4 linked regions of the Lepisosteus oculatus genome follow. The protein of the gene in region 4 interacts with the protein of the main gene of each other region in a pairwise test. Links are inferred from orthologs where the notes say so. Each region holds a gene or a part of one and is shown on either strand. Other genes may lie near its edges.

Evidence for each region.
Region 1: the proteins of arrb2a (region 4) and type-1 angiotensin II receptor interact in a two-hybrid assay, tested with the Homo sapiens proteins (2 studies listed by BioGRID and IntAct, with this or other methods). The link is inferred for Lepisosteus oculatus from reciprocal best matches to the Homo sapiens genes ARRB2 and AGTR1.
Region 2: the proteins of arrb2a (region 4) and mapk9 interact in binary tests that used the Homo sapiens proteins (3 or more experiments, as listed by UniProt). The two-hybrid records come from large-scale screens. The link is inferred for Lepisosteus oculatus from reciprocal best matches to the Homo sapiens genes ARRB2 and MAPK9.
Region 3: the proteins of arrb2a (region 4) and adrb2a interact in binary tests that used the Homo sapiens proteins (3 or more experiments, as listed by UniProt). The link is inferred for Lepisosteus oculatus from reciprocal best matches to the Homo sapiens genes ARRB2 and ADRB2.

The regions. Positions count from the first base shown.
Region 1 is NC_090708.1:14,881,450-14,888,698, forward strand, and holds the start of type-1 angiotensin II receptor, read right to left. Parts: upstream 3,008-7,249; 5' UTR 2,757-3,007; intron 2,079-2,756; exon of another isoform or gene 1,637-2,078; 5' UTR 1,573-1,636; intron 1,293-1,572; 5' UTR 1,220-1,292; intron 351-1,219; exon of another isoform or gene 334-350; intron 1-333. UniProt on the Homo sapiens protein: Receptor for angiotensin II, a vasoconstricting peptide, which acts as a key regulator of blood pressure and sodium retention by the kidney.
Region 2 is NC_090706.1:23,084,263-23,091,432, reverse strand, and holds the start of mapk9 (mitogen-activated protein kinase 9), read left to right. Parts: upstream 1-4,151; 5' UTR 4,152-4,393; intron 4,394-7,170. Other genes in the region: gfpt2 (glutamine--fructose-6-phosphate aminotransferase [isomerizing] 2), read left to right, coding at 41-85. UniProt on the Homo sapiens protein: Serine/threonine-protein kinase involved in various processes such as cell proliferation, differentiation, migration, transformation and programmed cell death.
Region 3 is NC_090706.1:28,678,957-28,686,823, forward strand, and holds the start of adrb2a (adrenoceptor beta 2, surface a), read left to right. Parts: upstream 1-4,863; 5' UTR 4,864-4,878; coding exon 4,879-5,049; intron 5,050-5,220; coding exon 5,221-6,432; 3' UTR 6,433-7,867. UniProt on the Homo sapiens protein: Beta-adrenergic receptors mediate the catecholamine-induced activation of adenylate cyclase through the action of G proteins. The beta-2-adrenergic receptor binds epinephrine with an approximately 30-fold greater affinity than it does norepinephrine.
Region 4 is NC_090698.1:12,348,695-12,356,549, reverse strand, and holds the start of arrb2a (arrestin, beta 2a), read left to right. Parts: upstream 1-4,843; 5' UTR 4,844-5,042; coding exon 5,043-5,065; intron 5,066-5,085; exon of another isoform or gene 5,086-5,744; intron 5,745-7,855. UniProt on the Homo sapiens protein: Functions in regulating agonist-mediated G-protein coupled receptor (GPCR) signaling by mediating both receptor desensitization and resensitization processes.

The sequences.
Region 1 (7,249 bases), on a different chromosome or scaffold from region 4:
ATAATATTTAATAATAGGTTTATGTTTGTTGTGTAAATTATGGGGAAATGTGTACAAGAAAAAGATCCAGTTTTTCTACATTAGAACCACAGATTGAACTTACACTATTAAATAAATTATAGCTCAGAAGAGCAAGCCTGCAACCTCTGTGTTAGAGAAAGCAGATTCTACTAGGACGCAGTGGGATTTAACTATGTTCCTAAAGTGCAACAGACTGTAGTGATCATAAAAAAGACATTATTCACTGGGGGGGATCTAGCATCTCTCAGCTCTGCTATGTATGTTTTGTTCCCTCACTGATGTAAAACAATTAAAAAAAAAACTATTTCTTACCAAAACAAATGAGACTGCTGTTCCCAGAGAGACAAAAAAAGACAGAATCAAGTAAAGAAAACATAATTTAAAAAGCATTAGACTCTATCTTTTACCTAAAATTACATAATAAAACAATTGCACAATGCTTTGTGTCTCAAGGTAATTGATATCCAGAAAATAACTTAGACAAAATGAAACAATTTTAGATGGACACTTGTTATTTTCATATCGGAGGAGGACATACATACTGTAATTTTGCAAGCATTTTAATATGCAAAGGTGCTCCAAGATTCCTCTGCCAAATAAAGCCCGTGTGGAATTCCAAAACTATATTTGAGAAAAATACATTTTCCATACCTATATATTCTAGATTGGCACGTTCCGAACTCAAATCAGCAAATTAAGAACATATAATGCTCTGGAGCATAGAACTTTTAAAACTCCCATATGAATAATTCATAACTAAAATTATGGATACATTTTCTATGTTTTTCTCTTTAAAGTTCCCATGAACATGTTCTCTGTGTTTGGAGAACAGTAGTACAAACTCAAGTAAATACTGTACATCTGTAGAGCTACAGTGTCCTTCTACTTTGTCTGACAGAGAGCCACCCCTGACAGATTTTACTTCCATCCCTAATTGAGCCCCAAATGTGAGGCATTCCATCCGGTAATCTAATAAACTTTGAGCAGCATATTTAACCTCGCCTTAAATGTTTATGTTAAAGCACATACAGTATGGGATTTATTAGTGGCGTATATTTTCTATTATTGAATCATATCAGAAGTGTATTGACAGGGTACAAAAAGCATGAATTTATTGTACTTGCATACAGTGCGTGCTTTATAGAGTAAAGAAAATAAAGTTTAGAAAAAAGAAACAAGCAATTAGGCATTCTGTTACCTGATGCAGAAGAAATGTTGCTCCCAACAACACATCAAATATTGAAAGACAAGTACATATTAAGACGTATGTCCTGTTGAATAAAAAGAGACAGTCAGAACACCAGTATCTCACAATACACAGGCAATCATTACTTCATGAAGAATATTCCATCTTTTACTAGCATTTAAAAATAATTGTTAATTGCATACTAAACAAAAATCTTGTTTCTTTCTTGAGAGTTCCTAATTTTTGTTTTTGGTAATTTTTTGTATTGTACTATTTTCCAAATGAAGTGAAACAAAATTAAAAAAACATCAACCCAAAACAGCACTTTCAGAAATACCTCTTGCACTTGAGAAAAATGCTTTTACCTTATCGTGAGGAAAGGTAAGTGCTCCGGTGGTGCAACAGACACTGTCAGAGTTCTCTGGCTTTCTGGAGATGAACGGACCTTATGTAAGTTCGCTGGGCAAGTAAATCGCAAGCTGACTCTGCACACATGTGGGTTGTAGAGCTGGTTTATCTCTTCATCAGTTTCTTAGCTCAGCCCCCACAATCTGTACTCAAGGCACTGCCCTACTCCCATCTGGGGAGTCCTTCACCGACCAGCTCTTTAATAGCTCTACGTCTTTCCTGCAAGCGACATTTTCCCAAGCCATCTAATAGAGCCCTGATAATTGGGGCTTAGAGAAGTTTTATTAATAGAACTGTCACTGGCACTTCCCTCTCTGTGGCTTGGGTGAGTGCGTTAGGAAATTGGTCGCAGATTCCAATTGTTACTGTGTACATCCTGTGTGCATGTGAAAGTTGTTTTTTTGGGATGGCGGACCAGCTGTTACTTAACAATCCCCCAGGGAGAGCGAAGGGTATGACTTGTATTATAACAGGTACAAGTAAACCTTCTGCTTTGTCGCTTTCCCACTACACTGCTCCCCTATTCCTGCTGATCACAATGTTGCCATCGGCTTCATAACCCTCTAGTCTTACTGTGGTAAAAGCTACTGGTTAGTAATCAGTACATGCACTCCAGTAGGACTGAAGAGTTCAACCTAGCATATGGATTAGTTTCTTTTTTGGCTTGAACAAGGAAGATCTCTCCTCTCATCTCAGTCAGCTAATCAAAAGCTTCCAATTCAGTTTCAGCTCACAGCTTAAATTTAGGATCTCAATATTTTATTAAGTGACAGTGACTGCCTTGTTTTTTATATTAAAGAACAACTGTACCTTTAATTGTCAATTTCATACTTTAATTTTTTTTGTCAAATGCACTTTAATAATTTATCATACCTCCCATTTACATAATTTATCATACCTCCCATTTCTTTTCATTAAGAAGATTTTTTAGTTCTTTCCTTTCGGTAGAAACCTGGCTACGGTGCAGCCCTTTAATTTCAGGACTTTCAGTGTAATGTTAAAAAGATGAGGTACCCCTATAAATTATGCAAGGTACTGTACAGTATATTGAATCCTGTTTTCACAAACTTACTAACAAGTGAATGTTTTTTGAACCCATTTTTAAGCATGCCGCCTGACTGCCCAGTTCTGATTTGCTTACTTTAAAGTGTCACCGGAAGAGCTGGGCTGTGTTTCATCTAATCGTCCCAAGGTCTGGGTCCCCAAGGGTAATTCCAAAATCAAGTTTTCAGACGGCTATCAAGGCTTGATTGCAGATTAGATTAGAGAAAACCAAGCCTGTAACAGACTAGAAACAGTCGATGAGCAGGGGTAGAACTGTAAAGGGGGGCAACATACTGTATAAAGATGGACATATAGTCTGATAACACCAACATTTTGGATGAAATTCAAACAAAACATTAACATAAATACTTTAAGAAAGTATTTTGTTTTCATGTAGAAATGTGTGTGTTTGATCAGATTGATAACAGATGAAAACGTTTTTTTTTTCCCTTAATGGCAAAGAAAATTATTCTTAGACAATGTATAGACTATTCCTTACCTACGCATAGAGAATGGTATCAATAAATACCCATCCATCCATTAACTAACTGCATGATCCAATACAGGGCGGCGGGGGAGCCCGAGTCTATTCCAGCATGCAACAGGCACAAGGCCGGACGTGACCAGAATGAGATGCCAATCTATCGCTGGGCACACGCAGACACAAACATGCACGTACTTACTCCGGGGCTAATTTTCCAGAAGCCGATTAACTTACCAGCGTGTCTTTGAACTGTGGAAGGAAAGCAGAGTACCTGGAAGAAACCCACGCAAATAGCACCCCAGGCATGGAATCAAACCCAGGGCTCCAGCTCTGCGAGGCACCAATGCTTACCACTTTTTAGATTTTTTTTTGTCATAGGTCAAAAAGAAACAATATTTCTGTTTATTATTGAAAACTTTAATTTTGGCCAATATCTGTTACGTATGTGTGTAATAAGTACTATGGTACCCTGTATGTTTTTTTTCTCATGAACTAACCTTCTGTAACACCTAGAAGAAGAAAGAAGAAGAAGAAGAAGAAGAAGAACAAAGAAGAAAGAAGAAGAAGAAATGAATAGTTATATTTACATAATGCTTTCCATCACAGTGGATAACGTATAGGAGGTGACCCATTTTATGCGTCACTGTGACGTCTGGCAGCTGAGTACACAGCAGTTCAGACAGAGAAGTGCGAAAGAGCTTCACCATTTGAATGAAGAATTTCAGGAGGCCAGATGGCGGAAGGCCAGAGCGGAGTTAACTGGAGTTCACACCTCCTGCTCTAATGAACAGTTCCATGGGAATCTGAAATGACCAAGCAGTCAGGACCTCGGGTTAACATGTCATCCAGAGTGGATCACCTCCTATAGCACAGCGGATTTGGCCATTAGCTAAGGACCTGTGGACCGGAAATGAAGAGCTCGTCCAGTAGCATCGCTAGCCGCAACAACCTGGTTTTCTTACAATGTCTCCCAAGTTCCAGTCCTGAGCACAAATATTTGCAAAGTCGCATTTCTATAATGTGATTGCTCGATCATCTCAGTCCACTTGATTTTGTTTAATGTTAAATTCTTTTTAATTTTCCTGATGACAGATGAAAACAGCCAAACGGGTTTTACTCCGATCCAGTTGTCACACACTGCTTTCAAAACCCTGACACAAATAAATGTACCATAACAGGAAATGGGAGGAGCTCACTGGATCAAAAAGTTTAATGTCACTGACAGATTAGTGTGGTATTCAGTTACACTGTTTTGCGAAGTAAAAAAAAATCAGAGAGAAATATTCACAAAAGAATCAGAACATGTTTTGCTACTGACATTACGTAAATGTTTAATTTAATTGCTTGTCCCTGATCAAGGATTGCTGTAATAATAATGTCAATAATAATGTTTTTTTTTATTTTTACAGTTTCAAAATGATGAGACATTTGAAGTTAGAAGCACACAAACATTATTCCGTTTTGGTCTTGTGCACCTGCTGATGATGTAAAGGTGTCACCAGACAATAAATGGACTGAATTAGATGACTATGATAATATATTGTTGTAGAACCTTAGCCTTAGTGTGAATCCCAAGGACAAATCTTGTAACAATACTCTTTGTCTAGTGCCTCTGTCAAAATGTTAACATTGCACCTGGGACCTGAACACAATTTTGATTATAGGCCACAGGATGAAGGTTTATAATCTGATAGTCATTGATAAATAGGATAATCATGATCATGGGATTTTAGGCAGGAGTTCAGTTAATTTAAAGTAGCTGATATTTTCTTCTGTAGTGTAAAATCTTAATGAAGCATACTGTATATTCACAGTAAAAAATAATTGTATACTTTTTCCCTACTCATGTGCACAGTGCCTGTACATATAAATATGCTGGAGAAAATATTTTATCATTAAATGCACTAATTTGTTTTCAAGATGTTTGAGCTGAAACATATGGTATGTATAGTTTTTAAATCATTCCACAGCCCAACGTATTGACAATATGATAGTAACTGATGCTAAGTTAAGTAACAAATTTGATATAAGACTGAAGGAGGTATCTAGTCAGTATCACTGCATGTGGAACAGATTTTGATTGGCTCCTATAATATACTGACATACAATGCAAATAATATCTGAAACAACTATAAAACTATCTGATAGCTTTCAGTGCACTGTATATGAAAACACTGTACCGTACATAGTAGCAAGAATTTATTTAGGTTGTTTCTAAGGTATGGCTGCAAATTGTGTTTATCAGCTTATCATTTGGCCACTCTAGAGAGCATGAAGGTAATTGGCAGCTCCTGACATCTGATGCATTACTAGCCCAGAAGCAGCAGCAAAAAAAAGAAATAAGATTGAATAAACGTTACTGATAGCCAACTATCACACTACACGTGTCTTCATTTTGCTTTGTGTCCTCGTATGCAGGCATGGCAATCATCAGGTACTGAAATCTATTTTCTGTGGGAGATTGGCACACAGGCCAGGGTGCAATTTAGTTTAATCAGATTAAAAAATAGCTATATTTATATACTATTATTTCATAACAGTATTGTTAGAATTCTAGAAATCCTTCCAGTTATGAAACTCAAACATAGGGGTAAGTTAAAAATATCGTTTTTCTTGGTATTAACAAAAAATTCACTACACCTGGTGTTTCTTTTCTATTCATTCTTATTTGTCTTTCAATATATATGCTCTATTGCTGTGATGATTAAAAAACAAAACTTGTATGTTTGCCTATATTCTTCTAGAGTTCAAGAACAATACATACTGTACTGTATATGCATGCGCTTTAGAAATAGTGTGTTCATAAGCAATTTAACTTATTTTGTATTTACTACACATTGTAATTGTCAAGGCATTGGAAAACGTTTTTTTTAATACTTAATTAAATAATCAAATAGAGTGTCTGCTGTATTCAGGCTCAGGCACTTACTGATTAATATCATAATTCACATAATTTGAGAGAAATTGAAATGTAGATAAAGATATAAAAATATTTTCAAACAAATATTTGGTTGAAAACAGGATGTAATTCTAGACCCTGACCATATGGCGCCATTGTTTCGTAGCTGAAAATATAGTCAAAACATTGTTTCCTGATTTCATAAGCTGATCTGTCAGAAAGACAGAATGTAGTTGAATTTAAGATAACCATACTCCATCCCCCAAAAATAATAAAGTGTGTCCATGAATGTAATGCCACTGTACTTAATACCCAGATTCACAAAGTACCAATAAATCTACTTTGCAAAAATTCATTAATTAATCCCTAAATATTTATGTTAACATTACTGTACAATGAACCATTTTTTAGCTAAAGGATTTTACATCAGTATCACAAAATAAAATTAAAATCAACAAAAAGGAAAAATCTGTGTCGTGCTGTGATGTGGTATTGACCTTTAATTGGATATGAGGCAGGTGTTTTGTGAAACCAGCAATATCTAGTAAGTCTGTGAAAAAAAAGGGGTTGCGCTTTTTCTCCAGAATTATTGCAGCTGTCATATAGCCTAATGAATGGATGTTGTTTACTGTGTGTAATGAGTTCAGTCAGTCTTCAGCAGTCCTTGTCTATTCACTTGAAACAGTCCTAAGGAAATGAGCTCAATATCATTTTTGGACAGGGAAATAAGCTCAATGGTGACAGGGAACTGAGGACCACTGTAGAGTCTGAAGAATCCATTTACAGAAATCAGTCAACACAGAACCTAAGTCAAGGGAAGGGAATCACTTTTCTCCCTGGATCTGAAGATTGCTCACTCTTTTAAATTGAAACTAGGGGGTTGGCAAATACAAAACAACATAGCTTAGTCCTTAACACATATTACCAGTTTTCTGAAATTGTAACAGAAAACCAATGATTTTTCAGATTAATTTCAGACTAATTCTAGAGTCAAAGTAGTTCAAGCAGGGAGCTGTGGCAGCATGCGTAGGCATGTAAAGTAAAGGTTGACTCCATGCTGAAAAGAGAAGAAAAGAAACAAAACATTTTGGCACGTGGAGCCTTCTTTGTGCGTGAGTTGCCAGATTTGGAGTTGCTGGCTCTAGAGCTGTCCTTCTAAAAGGAGATAGAAAAGCTGACCAGTAAACTAGCTGGTGAGATCTCTTTA
Region 2 (7,170 bases), on a different chromosome or scaffold from region 4:
ATTGAAACAATGTTTAACATTATTTCTCTTTAAATTTTAGGTTGACTGTCCACGGAATCTTGCCAAATCAGTCACAGTGGAGTAATATTCTTCAACAAACTGGAAATTATTGGAGGGAAGATAATGAAGAAGAACGTTTGCGGTCTTGGGTGTTTATATGTATGTTCATATGTTTATAGATATTTACATGTATTTATATATTACATAAAACTGAAACACAACAGACTATCATTGAAGTTTTCTAGGATCAGGCTTTTTCTCTATCTTCCAGCACTATAATTGATACAGGACTTACAAGGTTTGATCCAGCCAATGCAATAACTAGTACATTGACACTTCAATGTAGCAACACTATGCAGTTTTTAATTTACTTTGTGCCTTAACCTTATGTACTCCTGTTGCCATAGGAGTGATAAGGAAAAGAAAATGTGATGTTTACTTGTAGTTCCTAGATTGACATTTTATTAATACTGTGCAATATTTAATGTAAGAGGGCCAAATGTTTCTGGTTTTATGCAGATGATCTACATTTTAGGGGAATGAATTTGGGGAAGGATTTAATGTATTTCAGAATAGAAATTACATCCTAAATTAAAAGCAAAGCTATCTCATAACATACAGTATAACGCCTATATCCTCTGCTCTCAGTGGCATAAACTTTCACAGGTTCCAATCAATATGTAGCCGTACATCAGTCTGCTTTTTGGTACAATAATGGGAGCAAGTGTGGGCATGTTTTCTTGAGGATTTAAACATCAAAAGCAGTGGTCCACCCTTAAGCACATGGTGCTCTATAAAGCGGAGCTTCTGTACGATAGAGGCTTAGCCATGCTGTGACTCCCATGCTGTAACATTCTTTAACACTCTCCTCCACTACAACTAAAAGAGTCAGGTTGAACACCCCCAGCCTTAATTTCAAACCACTGTAGCAAGAGAAGGCCTGACTTGGTCTAGAATGAAAGTAAGTGCTTACTGTTTTCAGTCGATACACAGAGAGATGTGTATCGTCAGAAGATTCATATATGCAATAATTATACCAAATTAAGTGAAGAAACATCAGATTGCATGATCTATTGATCTTTTTCTGTATGTATTTTAATGTAGCTTTATTTATATCCAGAATATATGTGCTGCAGAGACCGTGGTGAGGAGGTATGAAACATGTCTTCTCATTTGACAACAGCCTTTGCTATAGTTTATTTGGCACAGGCAGTATTGTCACTGTAAAACACAAGTCTGCATTGAGCCCCAGATATGTATTCCAGTCTGCTAAATCTTTTAACAAAGATGTCTTAGTATCATGTGTTTTAGATTATTTATGAATTTATAAAAAGGTAAATTATTTTTCCAGGCTTGCTAAAATCAAAGTGGTTTGTTATTGTTTACCAAAAGTACTTGACATGTATATTATTGTTATTGTGTTGTCATGCTACGTAAAACTGTGAGTGATGCTTTTGGGTATTTTTTTAAAGATGAAGATCAATGGCCTTTTAAAAGATATTTTATATGTTTTTATTATGGAGGACTTTCAAAATCTATGAATGTTTAGAAAAAGGCAAAATAAAATGTATGTTTAAATTGCCCTGGTTTGATATCTTTATGCTTGTCATAGAATTGGTTTAATTGGTTTGAACGTCCTTAAACAGACTGAGATTATTAACCAAAGTGGTATAGTTACATGTTGCCAGCACTAGCTACATATATACTGTATTTCCCTAAAATCAAGTAGAGGTATAAAGATGCAGCTCCTCACTAGACCATATTTACTTGTAATTAGTAACTGTAATTGGATCAGAAATAATCCCTATTAATTTAAGTCTTGTATTATTTATCGAAAGCCAAAAATACCTAATAGAGCGGGGGATCTTAAAATTAGATTTCAGAACCTCAGAAAAGTACAGGGTCCCCTAAAGAAACCAAACTCTGATTATGCAGATAAATCAGATGTGTTAGTTTTGAGCTGGAGTATTAATCTTGTGCAACTGAGACCTAGTTTCCTGTTTCCTGCTAATGGGTCTGCTGATAGTTGAAGCAGACCATCCCATTTTCTAAGCAGGTTGGCCCTTAATCATGGAGAGATCAACCCACAATCACTTGGACAGGGCATGCTTGTATCTGTTTTTGCTCTTTCCTTAATTTACAATTTTATTTTTTGAATGCATATGTATCTGGGTTCTTAACCAACCCATTCTGGCAATTATGAATAATTCAACTAAAATGACAAACACTGAGCAGCTGGTATTTATAAAATCAAATTGACCTGAACTTTTTCTCAAGGGGTAATATTAGAGAGCCAACAAATCAATCCTCTCACTGTTTCAAATGAAAGTGAAATAATGTACAGTATTTACCTAATGAGCTATAGACATAAGGTGCAGACTTTTGTTTTTTTTGTTGTCCATTGGTATATACACAAATGAGTATTCGTGCACACTTGAACTTAACACATTTATCTCAATGTACATATTTAAGGCACCTATATAATGACATTTTGTGTGTTCCCTATCATGGACTGGTGTCTGTGTGTCTGCACTATGATAGACTGGCTTCCCATCCATGGTATACCCTGCCATGTACCCATTTCTTGCTAGGATAGGATATGGCTCCCCCATGACCCTGGATTTGAAGAAGTTGTGAGAAGATGAATGGATAGATTTATTGACACACAGAATACAGAGAATTTATTTTTTCATCTAAATTCATCAGAACGGACATGGTATCAATTATAGCTATTTATCCAAATTACTGTTATATGCCCATTTTAACTCTAGTTTCATATGTAACATAAGGTTGGGAGGTATACTACTTAAAACTTTGAATAAATAAACAATGCCTGCGTTCTGCCATGGGACTGTTGTCATGATATCCAAACACTTTCTAACTGCTTCTTCAAATTCAGGGTTGCAGGGGTGTTGGAGCAACTCAAAATCTTGGAAAGCAATGACACAAGGCAGGATACACCCTAGACAGGAAGCCAGTCCATTGCAGGGCATGTGTCATCAGTTTTGTACTTAAGTACAGTATTCCCAATTAAACAATTTAACCTTTTCAGTTGCATAACAAAGCAGTGGAAAGACCAATTCCTCCAACCAGCCAGACCAATTAGAAACCACTTATGTGGGAAGCCTACCAATTTGATACATAAACATTTAAATAAATCTAGTAGGTAATTCATACAAATGTGCCTTATACTGAATCAATTGTATAATAACTTCACCCCACATTAATTCAAATTGTGTATGTGTGGCTTTATACTGAACACTTTCTACACTAAACACAAAATCTCAAAATCATGTACAGTTATTGTAAAGTTTTCGTTTACACAGATATTTACGCAGGCAACACAGTGGTGCAGTGATTAACATTGCTGCCTCACAGAACTGGGGCCCTAGGTTCAGTTCTGGACCTAGGGTGCTATCTGTGTGGAGTTTGTATGCCCCCTCCCTGTGTTTGCGTGGGCTTTTTCCAGATGTTCCTGTTCCTCCCACAGTCCAAAGACATACTGGTAGGCTAACTGGCTTTGGGGTATAATTAAGCCCAGGTTTGAGTAAGTGTGTGTTTGTGTCTCCTCTGGGATGCACAGGTATCCTTGTAAACTGCCTTGCATCCCTTGCTCACTAGTTTAGACTTCGGCTCCTCCGTGATCCTGAATTGGAAGAAACAGTTAGAAAATGGACGGGTGGACGATGTACTTATAATAATGATGATATTATTATTATAGCAGTAGGAAAAAAATGCTGCCCGAATACTTTTTGGAATTGTACAACTCACGGAATTCGATCTTGATGGAGATACTTTATTCATATTAATACTGATGTATCGCTTATATTTCAAGTTTTCGAGTGATTTTCCATTTCCAGTGATGAGTGTATACAGCATATTGCATTTCCAGCAGCATTTTATAGAAACAGTGTATTCATTTTCAATTCAGAAAGCCACCGTCTACAGAGGTACTACAATGTGGATCCCTAGGATTCGAAAGATTTTTTTATTGTTAAAACTTTAAAAGTTGTACTTTAGAAAGAAGGGTAATCAGGTCGCATTGCAACAAACCCCCAGCAGGCAGCCGCCAGACAGGCTTAAACGATCGCAGCTCCCACTGGCTTTGCTGACGCGCCACACTCTAGCTTTGGCGTGATGACGTCACGCATATTTCCTGCCCGCAGTCGGGTTGTTGTGCCGACAAGTCCCCGCCCCAGTCATGCCATTGACAGGACCTAGAAATCCGGCATCTAGGAAGAAAGACCGTGTATTTTCGCGGCTGACAGCTGAGTTCTCCATTTGACGCATCCGCCTTGGATACCTTGGATTTTCGTGAATGTTGAGCCCCGGAGCCCCTCTTCTTGGGTTTGTCGTGCATGGGAGTGCTGTGGGGAGAAAGCGAAGTGAGAAGGTAGGTGTAATTAAATTTAGCTCGCCTGCTTGCATGCGCTGCTCCTGCTGCAGTTCTTACCAGAAGTGAAAGGGGAGGCGGGTGCAGACCGGGCCCTTGAGTCAGACCGGGGGCTTGTAAGTTGCAGAATTGGCCGAATATTAACCGAGAAGCGGAATTGACACGACAGGTCCTCCCTGCTGTAGGATATTTCGCATATCTGGCCTAGGCTGTAATTTGTGGTCTTACTCTAAAACACAGGCTGTTGGAGGGAGTATGTAATGATGCAATGAAACTACTCCAGAATGACTCATTGGCTGCCAGCTGCAAAAAGAAAGCCTACAAACTGTCGGTATTTGATTAAATGATGGAGTACGGGAACTCTATGTGCCTTCTAGGGCGGAATTGACAGCTTCATCGTTCCCAGGAGGCTTTAAAATAAAAAAAATACAGAGACAGATGATTTTTGTTTAAAGCCGATGGTGTTGCATGGCTGCTGGAAGCTGCAATATTTGAAGTTAGTACCTAATGAAAAGGCTACGGGGAAGCTGTGCTCTGTTGCCAAATACTGGAGGGATTTCTTTTATTTAAAGACCATAGCAAATTACTTAGACATTAGACATCCATTGCTTTTGAACCTGCAGGCAGTTAACACCCCAGGTTATTCGCCCACATACAGAGCAAGAATACCTGGCTATCTTAGGGGCACGCCCATTTATTTAAGACTGTTTCAGAGACTCTATTATTCTCCATTTATCCTGTTTCAAGTGCTACTTAATTGGCAATGTCCTTCTAACTACTTCCTCCTCGGATATACGGGTAATACTCGGTGTGGAACCTTACAATAGTCTGGAAACCGGCTTATCGTGGCCAGGCCTGCATTCATGTTGCCATTTTTCATGATTCTACACTGCCTTTTTTTTAGCTTCCTTCTCTTATTACTGTTCTGTCACGTAAGTGCGCTGTTCTTCTTTTTACTGGTTGGAATGTTTGAGCACCTACTGTGCTAAAAAACTATAAGTATCATCATTATATTTTTAACATAAAGACTTGTTTTCAGAAATCTGGACTTCAGCTGATGCTTTGAGGTGATGCGACGCTTGGTCCTTGAATTTGCAAAACTATGAATTATCCATTACTTTCCATCACTTCAGACCGGTTTAACTAAATGTGTCACTACTAAACACTCCTCTTCTATAAAATTCCTGCTCTCCTTGGGTAGTTTAGAAACTCTGCTAGCTGTGAACGGGAAGGTGGCTGTTTTTTTTGTAGGAACAAACGTTATCATTTTTTGTATAGAAGCAGCGGTTGAAATCAGAGTTTGTGAGCATTATGTAAAGTACAATATATTATAAGGATGACATTGCAACATTTTGTTTCATGCTGACTAACATTTGCTGTCTGCATTTCATTTTAAAGGGTCCATACCAAAGAGGTAAACATACCAAAGATAAACATTGTTACAGTATATTGGTACTTTTAGGTTTTATAGGATGTGACATACCTGAAGTGGTGTTTTACATGTACTGTAAGTATACAATACAGTATACCAATGTATTATTAAGATTGCTTTACAATCTTGTCAGTTTCATGTGCAGTAGAAAATCAGCTGAACGTTTCATGAAAGGTCTTTTGGCATGTAATAGTGAATCAGAGGAGTTTTACATGTAGGATTATACCATGGCGCAGTAGTGAACATTGTTGCATCGCAGGGCTGGGGCCAAGGATTCCTTTCCAGATTTGAGGTGCTATTGTGTGGATTTTATAATGTTTGCGTGGGTTTCTTTTTACTCTAACAACGTAAATTGGCTTTTGGGAATATATTTAATTTCCAGTGTGTACCCCACATTACGCCTGCTGCTTGCCAGGATTGTCTCAGGGTTCCCTGTGACCCTGAATTGGAAGAAGTGGTTAGAAAATGTACCTGATTTACCTGTATTTGCTTAACTTTCATAAATGTGTTCTACAGTACCACATACAGTAGTACTATTAAATAAAGTCTCATGCTCTATCCTTCCCAAGTTTTTTTTTAAATAATCTATCTAGTGTTGCCAACAGCCATATCACTCTGCAACTCACAACTGGAAACCCACTGAAGCTAAGCAGGTGTGAGCCTGGTCAGTACCTGGATGGGAGACCTCCTGGGAAGAACTAAGGTTGCTGCTGGAAGAGGTGTTAGTGGGGCCAACAGGGGGGCGCTCACCCTGTGGTCTGTGTGGGTCCTAATGCCCCAGTATAGTGACGGGGACACTATACTATAAACAGGCACCATCCTTCGAATGAGACGTAAAACTGAGGTCCTGACTCTCTGTGGTCATTAAAAATCCCAGGGTGTTTCTTGAAAAGAGTAGGGGTGTAACCCCGGCGTCTTGGCCAAATTTCCCATTGGCCCTTACCAATCATGGCCTCCTAATAATCCCCATCTATGAATTGGCTTCATTACTCTCCTCTCCTCCCCACTGATAGCTGGTGTGTGGTGAGTGTTCTGGCGCACTATGGCTGCCGTCTCCTCATCCAGGTGGATGCTGCGCATTGGTGGTGGTGGAGGGGAGTACCCATTACCTGTAAAGAGCTTTGAGTGGATTGTCCAGAAAAGCGCTATATAAGTGTAAGCAATTATTATAGAGTTCTTTCCACAAGTGTCCTTTTTTCCTGTCATATCGAAACACTTCTGCTCAGCAAGAGCCCATGTCTGTTATGCTACTGTCTCATTGCTTTGCATTTCACTTATTAAAAGCTTCATCATAACAACTTTGCAATACTTCAGCTTGAGATAATGCATTTTCCATTTTAATAAA
Region 3 (7,867 bases), on a different chromosome or scaffold from region 4:
AAATCACTTTACAGGTAATAGGACTACCCTCCACCACCACCGCCACATGGATGATGTGACGGCAGCCATAGTGCACCAGTACACTCCCCATACACCAGCTCTCAGTGGGGAGGAGAACAGAGTGATGAAGCCAGTTCAGAGATGGGGATTATTAGGAGGCCATGATTGGTAAAGGCCAGGGGGGAACACCCCTTCTCTTTTCATGAAGCATCCTGGGATTTTTAATGACCATGGAGTGTCAGGACCCCAGTTTTACACCACTTCATCAGTTTTACGACCCTACTGGTCCCACTAACACCTCTTCCAGCAGCAACCTTAGCTTTCCCAGGAGGTCTCCCATCCAGGCTCACACCTGCTGAGCTTCAGTGGGCTGCCAGCTGTGAGCTCCAGGGCGAGTTCCAGGGTGCTGGCAGCTATCTCCCTGTGATAAATCACAGTTATCTCCCTGGGGGTGGGAGTTTTAATTGTTACAAAATTGTTAATTATTTTGTCATAGCAGTCTAGCAAGAAAAGGGCAGCTACAGTAGCCCTGGCTCATTTTGTTTCTATCTGAATGTCCTTTAAAATCTTATGTATAGCCTACAGTATAGTATCCCATTTGGGGGATACTGCACTGCCATTTTCATGAATTTAGTATAATACCACAATGTCTAAAACCTGACAGAATTAAGATTAAATCTCTTACATGACATGTTATAGGACTTGCATTTAAATACTAAAAAATAACAACTATAAATAACTACTAAAAAAAAACTACTAAACTACTAAAAAAAAAATAACTACTATTTATAGTACAAAACTATTCACAGTATTTAAGTTCACAAATCAGGTGAATTTCTTTCATTAGTTTCTTCATTGCACTATACAGAATGTCCTGGGATCCTCTGATGCTAAAGATAGCCCCCAGCCTCAGTTGTGCCAGACACATTGGGTTCACAGGCTCTCAGGCTGAGCATACCTTGAATGTAAATGTGTAGATTCAGCTTTCCAGATCCCAAGACTCTGCACTGTATCAGTAGATGCACAAGACTATGGAACAGAATTTCTGCAAGCACATTATGATACAGGTACATTACCAAATACAACAATACTAGTGTAATAAGCAAGGTACTTATATGTATCAAACATATACACTCTTACCTACATGTACGTTGATAGTGCTGTTAGTCCAGTGTAATAGTAAGTGTGCTTACATGGTTGGTAATGTACAGTACCTGGACTATAAAGTGTTTATGGATTTGGGTTGTTTATAGAGTTAAATGAGACTGAGTAGACTTTCTTCAACATTCACCAGGGGGCAGTGCACTTACTTTCCTATGATGATATACTGTTTCAAGCACTTGAGTAAAACTGGTTATGATTTAGTGATATTGATGCAACAAGTTCTCAATTGTTCCAACAAGAGAGCACTTTCTCCGTGGGATCACCCTGCCTGACTCTCTGTTAATTCAGTGTTGAGGAGTTTACAGATAATTATTGCACAGAAGTAAACACAAGCTTTGATTTGTCCCTTATCAGAAAGCTAGGACTGAAAGAACTGTTTTTTTTTTCCTGGTAAAATATTCATTTAAATAGATTTGCGATACCATTTAAAATGATTGCAAAACCGCAGAGAAACAGCTTTTCTGACTTGTGGTTTTGAGCGGAGAGGACACAAGGGCTTATTCTGGAATGTGACTTAGTTATGATAGGTGCTTCTGTTGGGGCACATAAATTGATTCTTAACCTTCTTAACCATGAGGAGACCTCAGAGGTAACCTTATTCACACAATAAAAGAAATAAAGGCCATTCTATATCTGCTGTCTTCAAAAGGAACCCATAATGAAAAGAACAAAGCTTAGATGCTTAAAATGAACACTGGCCACCTTATTAAAAAAAAAAACTCTGATTGCATAGCAAAGTGCATTCATCATTCCAGAGAGACTGAGAGAGACAGATGCAATCTCACTAGTGCAGAGTTTTCCAGCAGAATTCCAACTCCAGGTCTCATTTACTCAATTGAAATTCAACCGTTGCTTTGCTGGGAATATATAAGATTTTTCTCTGCTCTTTTGCTTTTGATGACTTTAACAATGGCCTTGGCTCCTGACGGTTATTGAGGCACACGTGATGGTCAAAGTGCCCCAGCTGACTAAATAACGAGACCAGTTTGGAAACAGGACATTTGACTGGAAAAAACTCTGTTTCTTTTCAAACCCCTGAGCGTCTCATAAGCCTGTCCCTGGATATACTGGCAGCCAGGATTCCCTACACCTGTACAAAGAACACAGGTGGGACTACAGTATATTCTCCCTATTTCCTCTGTGGCCAGACTGATGCTGGGCCGACACATGATGTACACGAATAGTGAAGGCTCTTCAGTCCCCAGTCAGAACTCTTTTTATAGTGCGTGACTGTGAGCTCTCTCTCTCCTGGCTGCAGCCTGGTACTATTAATGTTCGACTGGGAGGCCATTTTAAGCTCTCGGCAAATTTATTGCAAGGTGCACATATAAGCTTTGATGTTTGTGTATCTCTCAGGGAAAAAAAAAAGGTCATGCTTGTGGAGCTTTAAATATGACAGCACCATTTCATAGTGAAGAAGTGTGGACATTTGTGTATGCAGTACGCTAGAAAAACTGCACACCTTTTGTTTCTGGGTTCCAAAAGTCAAAAGCTGACTCAGAAGACAATGCAGGACTTCAAATACAACCCGATCGTGCCAACTTAAAACTGAACTACTGTACAATACGTTGTTGTTCACTATCTCGTATTTATTGTTAACATGTTTTATTTTTACTGGTTGTTTATTGACTGTATATATCATTATTATATACCGTTTTGTAATGTACTGTCTACGTCGTGAGGTGTCTACTGTCGTCTGCTGCACTGTGCACTGTACTGTATGTCCCGGGTGAACGGACAATTAACATGTCCATATGGCAATAAACTCATCTGCTCTGCTTGAAAGGAAATGTACTGTACTGCATGAAACCTTGTTAATTATTTGTCGTGGAATTATACTCAGGTGTGGTAAATCTGAAATATTACGAACAACAATATTAATAAGGCGATTAAAGTAGTCACAAAAAAGAAATCTTTTTTTTGTGCTCTTTGCAAGAAAGACTGCTTTCTTGGCAGTCTCGTGCTATTGATTAAAAAACGTATTCAAATACGTTTCCTAGGAAATGTATCTTCCTCTAGTCAAATAAAAAGGTCCGTGCGAATAACGAGCCATTTATCCTTTTTGAAAAAGTCACTATCGTCGCTTTTCTTCCGTTTCTCCGCGCCTGGTTTCTCTTACACCAGGTGACGGAACCAACGCTTTTTTAAATTCAGAAATGCCGAGCTTCTGGAAAGCTGTGAATTGTTTAAAATGTATTATACTTAAATATTCATGGCAAGGATGAGTGCTGTCAGGCATAAATGAACACAACTCGCTTATACATTCCCTGCACAACACAGAATTTTTCAAAGTTAAACACGCCGTTAAAAAAGATCCTTCCAAACTAAGGAAAATAAATTCGACTTCTTTGCGTTGTTTTGATAAAAAAGCTTAATAAAATGTCTTTAAATAATTTAACTGAAGTGGTAGCTGAAAGACGTGTTCGGATGGATTTTGTTCACAGAAACAAAAGTAAAACAGTGGCAAAATTCACACGAAACGAATATATCTACATGGGTTTTCCAAGACCTGTCAATATTTCAGAAACAGTTCCGAACACCTAAGATACTAACTATACATCACTTGACTTGCGGGCAGACAAGATGCGCGGGAGAAGGATTTTTGAGATCAAGACGGTCTCATTCAACGCTGTGTGCCTGTCTACACGCTGGCAAGTTTAAAGACAAAACTCATTCACAGAGGTTCGGATTAACGAGTACAATACAATACGGGATACAATACCTAAAATATCACCGCAGACTCGCCTGGTTAAAAATAAAGAACAGCTATTCTGAAAGTAATCATAGAATGGGTAGCCAACGGCTTCCAATCAATCAATTAATCCCTAGTTTTGCATAGCACCCTTTTCTGAGCACAATTTAACATCTAAAATCAGATACAAAAAACATTCAAAACAACCTGCAACAAATATGCAGTAACAAACAAGCCAATATACAAAAGCAAACAGAAAAACGGGAAAATAACATTAAAAAACAACGATCCTCTCAGGAATTAGAACCGGGAGATAATTGTCCCTGCAATTTCCCTCACGGGATCAATAAAGTATCTATCTATCTAAATACCACTTTCTCGTGGACAAAAAGCTTTTTCAAAAGTCGCACTGACTTTTAGTCACACTGTGGATTCAAAACAAACACTCCATTTATTAGCCCCTGCAGTTTCAGGTTAGGACTTTCAAATGTTTTTTTGTTCACGAAATGAAAAGCTTATTTTCACATACATACTGTATACAGTACTTTCCTTTGACCTCAGTAGGATTAATCGTCCCATTGACAAGGAAACTTGGGGCAGACTTGATTCTGGGGGGCACAGAAGTTGTTCTTAGCCTTTTGTCACGAGTTTCAACGGTTTAGAAAATTAAGACAGTCACCCCAATCAGTCAGACAGCCAGCACAAACCGAAAGAGAGACACAGAGAGGGAAAGTAAAATCTGTTCTTTTGCATTTGTACTTCTTCCTTCGAGACAAGACCATAACAGACTGATAAGCTATAAGAAGCTGAGCTTTTTGACATATGCAGCACTTTATACTTCCTCTGTTGATTTGGTTCACAGACAGAAAGTGACCAGTCCGATGTTTCACACAACAGCCTTTAGCGCTTTGCCCTCCTCGCCTGCTCATTGGCTGCTGGAAATGATGTCATCGCCCACCCTTACTATAAGGTTCTGTCAATAGCCTGCGAGCACCATCCACAGCCAGGAACCTGCATACTGTATGTGCCAGACTGCAACGCAGCCTCTGAAAGAGTGGGACAGAAATGAGCAGAGGAGAGTGCGACAGGGCTCTTTCGGGAAGTGTCTAAACAGATTTCGGACATCAAAGAGCAAAGGAATAAAGCTGATTGATGTGGGAGAAAAGAAGAAGACAAGAGCACAGCAGGAGAAGGTTAGTAAACTTTCTCCCCCCCTTTAATAACTAAACACCTGTTTTATGTTAAAAAAGCACAAGCAAAAAAAAAAGTGTTTTGTTTTTTATCGGCTGCCCCCCTTGTCTTTCTACCGTTTAAGCGGTCCATTTATTGACCCGTCTGTCGCTGTTGCTGTGGTTGTTTCTCAGACCATGGACCCTCTCAGTAACAGCTCCGCGTCCAACTCGAGCAGCCCTGAGCACAGCGAGGCGTCGCTGGTGGCGTTAGGCATGCTGTTGTCGCTGCTGGTGCTGGGCATCGTGTTTGGGAACATTCTGGTCATCACCGCCATCGCCCGGTTCCAGAGGCTGCAGACCGTCACGAACTGCTTCATCATGTCGCTGGCCTGCGCCGACCTGGTCATGGGCCTGGTGGTGGTGCCCTTCGGGGCGTGCCACATCATCCTGAACACCTGGCACTTCGGCAACTTCTGGTGCGAGTTCTGGACGGCCACGGACGTCCTCTGCGTCACGGCCAGCATCGATACCCTGTGCGTCATCGCCCTGGACCGCTACCTGGCCATCACCTCCCCCTTCCGGTACCAGTCGCTGCTGACTAAGTGCCGGGCCTGGATCGTGGTGGTGGCCGTGTGGCTGGTGGCCGGCCTCATCTCCTACCTGCCCATCCACATGCAGTGGTCGGTCTCCAAAGACCCCGAGGCCCAGAGGTGCCTGAATGACACCCACTGCTGCGACTTCAACACCAACACCGCCTACGCCGTCACCTCCTCCATCGTCTCCTTCTACATCCCCCTGGTGGTCATGGCCTTCGTCTACGGCAGGGTGTTCCAGGAGGCCAAGAAGCAGCTCAAGAAGATCGACAGGTGCGAGGGCCGCTTCTACGTCCAGAGCGGCCTCCCGCAGCAGGAGAGCAGCGGCGAGCCCAAGGGGGGGAAGGCGCCCCCAAAGAGGGCCTTCAAGTTCTGCCTGAAGGAGCACAAGGCCTTGAAGACCCTGGGGATAATCATGGGAATCTTTACTCTCTGCTGGCTGCCCTTCTTTGTGCTCAACGTGGTGGAGGCCATTGGCCAGTTCCAAAACACCAAGCTGACGTTCAAGATTCTTAACTGGATAGGGTATGCCAACTCGGCCTTCAACCCCGTGATCTACTGCAGGAGCCCCGAGTTCCGGCACGCTTTCCAGGAGATCCTGTGCCTGAGGCGGTCGCCTTTCCCCACGCTGGGCCCGCCCAATGGTTATGTTTACAGCGGACACAGCTGGCAGAACGACCCGCAGGCAAAGGGCAGATCGAGCTCGGAGGACAGCGTCACCCCGGAGGGGACGCTGGCCAAATGTCGGGGTCCCCTCTCCGGGACGGACACCAACGGCAACTGCAGCAAAGCTCTAACGACTGTTGTATAACTCGCTGACTCCCCCAGGGGGAAAAGGGGGAGTTTTTTTTTGGGAGGGGGGGGGGACACATTTTATGAATGTGTTTGAATGTACAAGTGGGGAATGCAGGGGGTGAGACTGTGGGCGGGGGTGGTGGGCGCCATTGAGTGGGTTCTGCTAAAACGAAAGGAGCCCACTTGATCACATTCGCTCTCACGGCGGGAGAGTGGGTCTCTGCAACTTTAAATTTCATTTCACCTACCTCATTGTTTTTATTTTTAATTTTTTAACGAACTAGGGACATTACTTCTTTTTTAACGAATGCAAGAGAGCAATGAAGCCAGGCTTACGTTCTTACAACGAAAGAAAACTCCGGATCCTTTCAAGAGCGAAGAAAAAGGAAGGGCTCTTTTTTTATTGAAGGACAAACGTGAAAACGGTACCATAACAGTATTTAATTGACGTCTGCCGACCATGCTAGCAAGCGGTTTTGTAGAGTTCAATATGTTTTGCTCCAACAATGAATTATCTTGGGGGGAGTCGAGGGTAAAAGATTCAGAGTGGTGTCTCGGGCTGTCTAGTCTCAGGATTTGCACAATGTGGAAGTGCAGTCTTAACTTTTAATCACTCACTAAACAGGACGTCAAGGACAGTGCACTCGCGATCGAGTTTAAATCCGCCTTTGACAAAACTGAAGAGAAAACAAAAACAGGAAAAAAGAACTATAACGAAGTATACTCAAATTATTAGCTTGCACAGCATTCATCTCGTCCGCATCTTCAATACATTCCAGTTTCATTTTGTGGAAAATTTAAAGCGAGGCTTAATAAAGCGCGGCGCTGTCGACTCTGCTCCCCAACAGTAACCCAACACTCAGAGGGAAAATAACAGGTGCAAAGCGCCGCTCTTTCCGTTTAGGAGGAAAGGGCTGCAAAACAGTTGAGCAATGCTCTTCGACAGTTACAGCCCCCGACAGCTTTTCTGATTGGTAATACTCTTGAAGGTTAACCCCGTTTTGTCTTGTGGCTGCGGTGTGTTGAGTTTGCCGAGACTCCCATTATGGGGTTCAAAGCTGAATCGAACCCAGTGCAGGGGGGAAGGCAGTCCGGTCTGGAAGTCAGCTAACAAAAAAAAACAACCCAAGGCGAATCCAGGCTGAATTCCAGCTGTAGCCGCTGGTGTAAAGTGTAGATACCAGAGGCGGTATCGAGGTGTAGTGGTGGGGTTTCGGATTCCCATCTAGAAAGTTGTGGTATCAAATCGCAAGGAAAAACACGCGAAGTACTTCACCCAGATCGCAGCAGTGAAATGCTCGGGTGTGTAAACAGAAGTTGGTCTTTGCCGATACAATCGTTAGCCAATTAAGTTAATAAAAGCAGATGAAAGTCACTCTGACCATTCTGTAACTACAGTACAGCCATTACCAGACAGACAGCACTACCGACTGTTTCGACTGCTACTATTA
Region 4 (7,855 bases):
CTCTTACTTGACGTGTGAGAGTTGTCTGCTGTCTCTGCCACACGGTGCAGTTACCTCCTTAACAGCAGCAGTTCCCTGCCTCCGGCCCTGAAGGAGCACCGCCTGCTGGTCTTCACTCCAGCTGAGCTCTGCTCCTCCAGCACTGCTGCCTTCACTCATCTGCTTGAGCCTCTAGACTTTTCTTTTACGTGTTCCTTCAGTTTGTTCACAGGTGTCTGATTTACTGTGAGCATATCAGACACACCCACAGTGGGTGTGCGTATATCAGAAACAACCACAGTGGGAGTTGTTCTTTATCAGACATACCCACAATGAGCCTTTCTTCTGCAGCTCAAATCATATACATGTTCAGCAAACACAGCTCAATGAGGGCAGTTCTGAAAACAGTGCAGAATACAGATTTCAAATCCTATCTGGCCTCGTAAGAGCTAAGAGCAAATCTACAATCCTACCCCAGTCAGAGCCAGTGATGAAGATCTCGAATGGAGAGCAGACCAGAAGATTTGGGGTTCCTACAGGACCGGGGCAGCGAACCGTGACCGTGTGTGCGGAGGTGCAGGCTCTTCCTGTGCTGCACTGCGGGGCTCAGAGACTCGAGCTTACACAGCTTCCTTCTACCTCGGCACAGGATCTCCTCTTATCGATTGCTTTTCCTGTGTGGTTCAGACGGGGCACAGACAGGGAGAGGGGACCTGGGTGCATGTTACTGTGAAGGAGCCTCAGCGGACAGGAGTTTGCAAAGACTCTGCCCTTTTCGGGCCCAGCCGTTGGCCCGTTTGCACTGGTGTGCGAGTCAGTCTTTGAGCCCCGCGTGTGAGGAGGGTACCCTCTGATTGGACCTCGCAGTGGTCGACCCCCCCCCCCCAAAAAAAATAAAAAAACACTACACAGCAGCTGTATTCCAGTATTGTAACAAGCAGCACAATTTTGTAACACGTTGTTTTATAGAATTTTTGTAAGAACAAAATGCTTTTTTTTCAGAAGCCTTGTTGATGTGAAGCCAATGATTAAAACCTGTTTTTCTTCTTACCCTGCTGAGTTGTTTGGCTTGTTCTGTAGCAGTTCGCTCACCAAGGCAGACGTCCTCAGAAAAGGCTGGTAGGAAGAAGAAATTTGGGAAAAGAAATGCAAATCTGATCCTCCTTCCTTCCCAGTGACCCCATTCCCAGCAGGTAACACTGTGATCCGTGACTTCGATCTTGTCCACTGTCTGTCCGGGGGGTGAGGAAGAGGAACAGACTCCCAGCCACTTCTCCTTGACTCCAGAGGACATACGACAGACCAGACCTTCAGAGGTCATATGAACCCCATCACTTTGCTAAAGGAGCAGTTAACTATAAAACAGCTCGCAGTCAAGTTGGAACTCTTTTATTTCAACACTTAATTAAATAATTAGGACAAATTTAGATAGAACTAGATCCTCCAGGAACTGGGTTTAAGACCCCAGTAAATCTCAGAAGACATTACAGTCTCCAACACTGACTACAGTCTTCATCAATGTCACAGTGGGATAGGAAAGCGACCTGATTCTAGCAGCTGTGGGAATTCTGGGATTATATTTATTTAAGGGAAGAATGTCTAATTCTTGAGTGTTACTCATAGTGCAGTAGAAAGTGTATCTCCCTGCTGGCAGTAGGAGCACAGCCTGTCCTCACATTGTGTCCAGTTTCTGTCCCATCTGTGATCATTGAGCTTTCCTTTCTGGACAGCCCAGTTTGCCTGTGTCCAGTTTCTCTGTCCAGTCTGTGGTCCCTGAGCCTGTCCTCTCTGGACAGCGATGTCTGTCTGTGTCCAGTTTCGCTGTCCAGGAATCAGTGCAGTGCAATTGTAATACAATGAGCAATGTATCACCGAGTCGGTGGGACAGCTTTCTGTCAGCCCAGTCCTCTATATCTCCTTCAGGCTTCTCTTCACTTCTCTTCATCATTAAAAAAGGTCAGTAGCTAATTAGGTAATTAACGAACGCATGTTGTCTTTTTGTTTGCTAATATGCTCTCCAGTGTGCATTCCTAGACAGACTGCTAGCAAAGTATAACGCTGGACACTCGTCTTATTTTGTGTGTGTGAGCCTGTTGCAAACCTGGCCAAGGCCACCCTGGGCCAGAGCGCTGAGGAGTGTGATGACAGTGACAGTGTAGCCACTAGGGGTCGCTACAAGCACCTTTCATCCAGATCATCAGCCAATAGATAGCGGCACAGTGGCTCAGTTGTGAGTAGTGCTCCCTTGCAATGCTGGGGCCCTGCCTTCATTTCCTAGGGTGCTGTCTGCGTGGAGTTTGTATGTTCTCCTCGTGTTCGCATGGGTTTCCTCCAGGTGCTCCGGAGGTTTTTATCAAAATAACCTTTCACAAACACATCTCACAGTAGTAAACTTTCTAACAGATAATCAGACTCACATGACATAAAAACTTCCTCACTCAGGTGATTGTCTGTTATCAATCAGGGCAAGTGGATGGATTTACACAATGAAAGAGTCCCTCCAAGCCCTACCACTTGCTTTTGGCCATGCCATTTCCCTGTCCCGGCTCTGAAACTGCGGAGCAGGAGCTCAAGGAACAGGGATTTCCCAAAGTCCCTTCCAGCGCTCCGGAGGATTTGCTGGTAGATTAAGTGGCATATGGGAAAAATGCCCCTGGTGGGAATGTGTGTGTCCTGTGGTGGACTGGCGTCCCATCCAGGGTGTACCCTGCCTTGTACCCATTGCTTACTGTGTTAAGCTTCAGCTTCCCCGTGACCCTAGACTGGATAAGGCAGATTCAAAAATGGATGGATCTGTCAGGAGAATGTGGGAACTGTACATGGAGTTTGTTACAGGGCAGAGTCACCAGCTGTGATATTAGGCTGCACTGAAGAGAAGTGATAAGCTGGATGTGTGGGAGTTTAAGTGAGCTGGAAGGAGGCCAGAAACGTTCCTGGAATTTCACTGCACAGCACAGCATTGAGCACAGAAGTCCTCAGCAGCCATCTGTCCCATGGGGAGGCTGTATACGCACTGGAGGTGCATTTAAAACTAAGACCAGGAGGCACGTCTGTCCACCAAGGGCGGTGGGAGTGTGGAACAAGCCATATTTTGTAAACGGATACTTTGACTTCCACTCAGAAACGCCAGGATGAGATCCTGGGATCAATCACCAGATAACAAACAAAAGGGCCGGATGGTTGCCTCTCATTTGCCACCCGTCTCATGTTCTTGCACAAGGACACTGGGGAGTTCCTCCAGCAACCTTGTTGTGAAAGGCGCTAGAGAACAATAAATGGAATTGAATTGAGAGTTCGACTGGGGAACTGCCCGTCTCATCTGCTCATTTCAAAGTCCGTACTGCTCATCACCGCTCAAATCCAATGAAAAACAACAAAGCACATTAGAGTGCAGAGAATCACATAAAGAAGAGTGAAAGCACCCATTGCCGCTGAAGCCCTGATGTCTTCTGGGGGCAGCGACACCAGACCCTGTCACCCCCAGAGTGCTGATGAAACACAGGGGAGACACAGTAACCAGAATCAGCTGAGCAGAGGTCCCATGGAGGGGAGCCGACAGACAACACATCGACCGGGGAGACAAGCCACATAGAGCTCTGACCATCCAATCAAATCAAATCAAAGTTTATTTATCAAATGCACAACACTACAGCGTGCAGCAGTAGTTGCTGGCAATGATTTATTTTTTCTGTGAGCTCACAAAAATCACAAAAATGAGGTTATGAAAATAAGGTTACATAATAGATGTAATAGAAATTGAAACTCAATGAGTAGAGCTGCTATGTGTCCATGGTGCATGCAATATACACAAGTAGTGCAGTTATGCTGAATACAGTGAAATCTGTGTTAATGTAGCCATTACAGGTGATTCACATAATCAACTGAAAGCCAGAACAGGAGAGACACAGTAATATTACAACTCACAAAGCGTTGTATTAGTGGGTCCTGCCAGTGGGTTTTATCACAATTATTAAAAACAACGATCCTGTTTTGTTGGAGACAGAGACATGGACAAAGTCTCTATGGGAGCAGGGCTGGATGTGTCTCTGCTGGAGACCCCGTACTGACCGGACCGGGGCTGGAGACTCCTGTACTGACTGGACCGGGTCTCTTCAGTACCTGGGTTGAAGACTCTTATCATAATCTGCACATGTGAGAAATCGTTTCGGGCTGACGGCTGTATCACATCAGTCTTGTGTACTCTGTCCTCCTGTTCATTAGTGCAATGCGTGCGCACTCGCCGCGGTAGCCCTAAATAGAAGTTTCACCTCCGGAAATATCAGAGGAGGCAGAGAACAGTCTAACGTTTAATTAAAAAAATATATATTTACATAAAATTAACGTGTAACAGACTGCGAGCGTGCTACGGAAACCCCTAAATACTGAAGGCTTCATTAACCCCCAGAACCGGGGGAGCATTTTTTATTTAGGCACTGAAAATTCAGCCAACTTTAGGCACCCATCCGTTCGCTCCCTCACGGGTACCTACAGTCACACCAACTCTATCCAACAAACCATTTTCGATGCATTAATTTCTGCACCTCGGGTTAAAAACATCTATCCAAAGACACTAAGATCGTATTCCGAAGTGCGTAAACAAATTCGTGCGCTGTAATTGGGTGCTGCTGCTGTCCATCAAGAGGCAGTACCGCCTCTCTTCCCGAACGGTAAATTTTGACTGGCTGTTGCGAGAAGAGTAAATAATAATACAGTTTTGTAGGGCGATGATGTCACGGGAGTCGAGGCGGGAACCTTTGCTTTCCTTAGGCGAGCGAACAGCTCTCCCACCGGAAGGCTCCGATTGGTCGGCGGCGCTGTCGTTCCAGGCGAGCGGTTGGCTAACGCGGCTGTCCGTCAGTGACGGCGGGCGGGGCCAGGGCGGCTGTCAGGTTGTCGAGCCGTTCTTCCGTCTGCTGGCTGCGGAAACGAGAGAAAGAGAGAGAGAGGGGAGGAGGGGAACAACCCGAGCGAGCGAGTGTGTAAGTCTGCGAGCGACAACGGCAGCGAAGGAGGAGGGCGCATTCTTAAAATAATCAAGAATAAAAATACTCAGCCGGTCGGCGATGGGGGACAAGGCGGGAACCAGGTAAGGGAGACATTTCCTACCCCCGCAGCGCTTCGTGCGCCGAGCCGCCGCCGTGGAGCGGAGCTGGAGGGGAGTTTAAATCGCCAGGGCGGGTGCGACGGTGCGCTTCGCGGTGGTACTGCCGTGGACGTTCAAGCGAAAGAAGGCAACCCCCCCGCGCGCGCACACCCTCGAGAAAGGGAGTGAAAATGAGCCGCTGAGATTCCTGTTCGCTAGCGCGCTGCGGAAGAGACGTGAACACGACACGGTAGCCGTGGGTGGCTGGTGTGGCGCGGAATCCTTAATAATAACATTAATAATGTCGCTGCCCGCCCGTGTCTCCTCTGGACTGTGTCCCTCACAGCGCCTCCGTCCTGCTGCCGTTGGGGTCGTGGCTCTCTAGGTGAGGAGCTGCGTGTTTTTTTTTGTGTGTCACCTGCGTGTCTGTGGCGAGACTGGCTGGCGTGACCTCAAGCAAACGCCTTCGTCCGTGTTCCTCCAGCGCCTGGGAAGATAGAGTATCGGCTACGTGGGGTGGAAATGTGAAAGGTTGGGTTCCCGGTGCTGGTGGCCGCGCTGTGCCCGTCTCCTTGTGATCTCCTTGCGATGTCGTGACGTGGTGTTTGACGTGTAGTTTACATTTCGATACCCACGCACACGGACATGTATGCGGGAGTGTGCGTCTTTATAAACAGGCGCATGCAGCTGCACATCCCTCGGCAAGGGGCGGTTCTGTTTAGGGGTTTTGTTTTCCTCTCTACGACGGAAATCGCTCCGGGTCCGTGTCTCGCAAGAGAGGAACCAACTATAAAAACCCGGCAGCTCCAGCAGTCTGCGCTGCGCCCGGGGCTGCCTGGCGTCCTGACGTGCCGCCCGAGAGAGATGGGGACCGTGTGTATCTGTCTCTCCCCCGCATCCGCAGTATTCACCTCATCAGAGAAAATTGGATTCTCTTCTGCATTTCCCTCTAGTGTTCTTGCGTGTCCGTGACGGGGGTGGAAAGGAGGGTAGAGAGAGGTGGCCTCTTTCTCTCCAGGCGCGTCCGTGAGGGTCTGTGGAAAGGTCTGCTGTTCTTCGGGTTACCAGCGGTCCAGCTGTGAGGACCGCTCAGGAGGACCCGTGAGATAGGGGCACAGTCGGCCCCGGGTGGGGGATGAGATCGCTGGGGTCTCTGCTCTTCCTCGTGCGTGAAGAGGCTGTGGATCCGGTCCGGGAGGTTTGGGCACAGCCTCGGTGCTCCGGGCCGGAGAGCAGGGGATGTTCCTCATCTTTCCCAGGAAGGGCTCGGGGGAGAGGGCCGTGGGTGTGTATATGGGGGGGTGTCTGTGGTTTTCCAGGCCCGGCTCACCTGGCTGCTGATTTGAATTCCAAATCAAGTTTGCGGAGGAGGGAAAGATCCACCTGTGAAGTAGGAGGCAGAGTAGATGCTGGGGGCTGTGATGAGGAAAGTGCTATCAGAGCTTCCCCAGTACTGGTCTGGGGGGGTCAGTGTGTCTGCAGGGTGTCCAGTCCTGGTCCTGGAGGGTCAGTGTGTCTGCAGGGTGTCCAGTCCTGGTCCTGGAGGGTCAGTGTGTCTGCAGGGTGTCCAGTCCTGGTCCTGGAGGGTCAGTGTGTCTGCAGGGTGTCCAGTCCTGGTCTTGGGGGGTCATTGTGTCTGCAGGGTGTCCAGTCCTGGTCCTGGAGGGTCAGTGTGTCTGAAGGTGTCCAGTCCTGGTCCTGGAGGGTCAGTGTGTCTGCAGGGTGTCCAGTCCTGGTCTTGGGGGGTCATTGTGTCTGCAGGGTGTCCAGTCCTGGTCCTGGGAGGTCAGTGTGTCCAGTCCTGGTCTTGGGGGGTCAGTGTGTCTGCAGGGTGTCCAGTCCTGGTCTTGGGGGGTCATTGTGTCTGCAGGTGTCTAGTCCTGGTCCTGAGGGGTCAGTGTGTCCAGTCCTGGTCTTGGGGGGTCAGTGTGTCTGCAGGGTGTCCAGTCCTGGTCCTGGGGGTCAGTGTGTCTGCAGGGTGTCCAGTCCTGGTCCTGGGAGGTCAGTGTGTCCAGTCCTGGTCTTGGGGGGTCAGTGTGTCTGCAGGGTGTCCAGTCCTGGTCTTGGGGGGTCATTGTGTCTGCAGGTGTCTAGTCCTGGTCCTGAGGGGTCAGTGTGTCCAGTCCTGGTCTTGGGGGGTCAGTGTGTCTGCAGGGTGTCCAGTCCTGGTCCTGGGGGTCAGTGTGTCTGCAGGGTGTCCAGTCCTGGTCCTGGGGGTCAGTGTGTCTGCAGGTGTCCAGTCCTGGTCCTGGGTGGTCAGTGTGTCTGCAGGGTGTCCAGTCCTGGTCCTGAGGTTGTCAATTAACTACATTACAAAGGGAGATTGGGCTTTCTCTATCAGAGCCCCTAGAATCTGGAACAGTCTTCCTTTAAAATTAGGACAGCAAATGGGTTTCTAAATGAGATTTAAAAGACTAAAACCAATTTTTATAGGCTTGAGGCAATAGTGTTAAAAATACTGATTTTGATCTTTGTCAGATACACCCATGTTGCCTAGTGCACAGTCTTGTTCAGATTTTGTCCATGTTAAGAGTGGGACTAAAGTACATTATCTTTTGCATTTGTATCATGTGCTGGTTCCTTATCATATTCTGTGCGTGTTGATAATGTTAAGAACTGCAGCAATATGTCCGCTGTGTATGTGCGTTTCCTTGTTTTAATCAGGATTGTTAGTACGTTTCTTAAATTTACCTCCTAACAATGCATTCATTTTATTAGTGTTTTAATGAGAAACACTTTGTGCTGTAGAGCTGGAAATGTTCTGTTTAAGTAAAGTCATAACTGATTATTGTC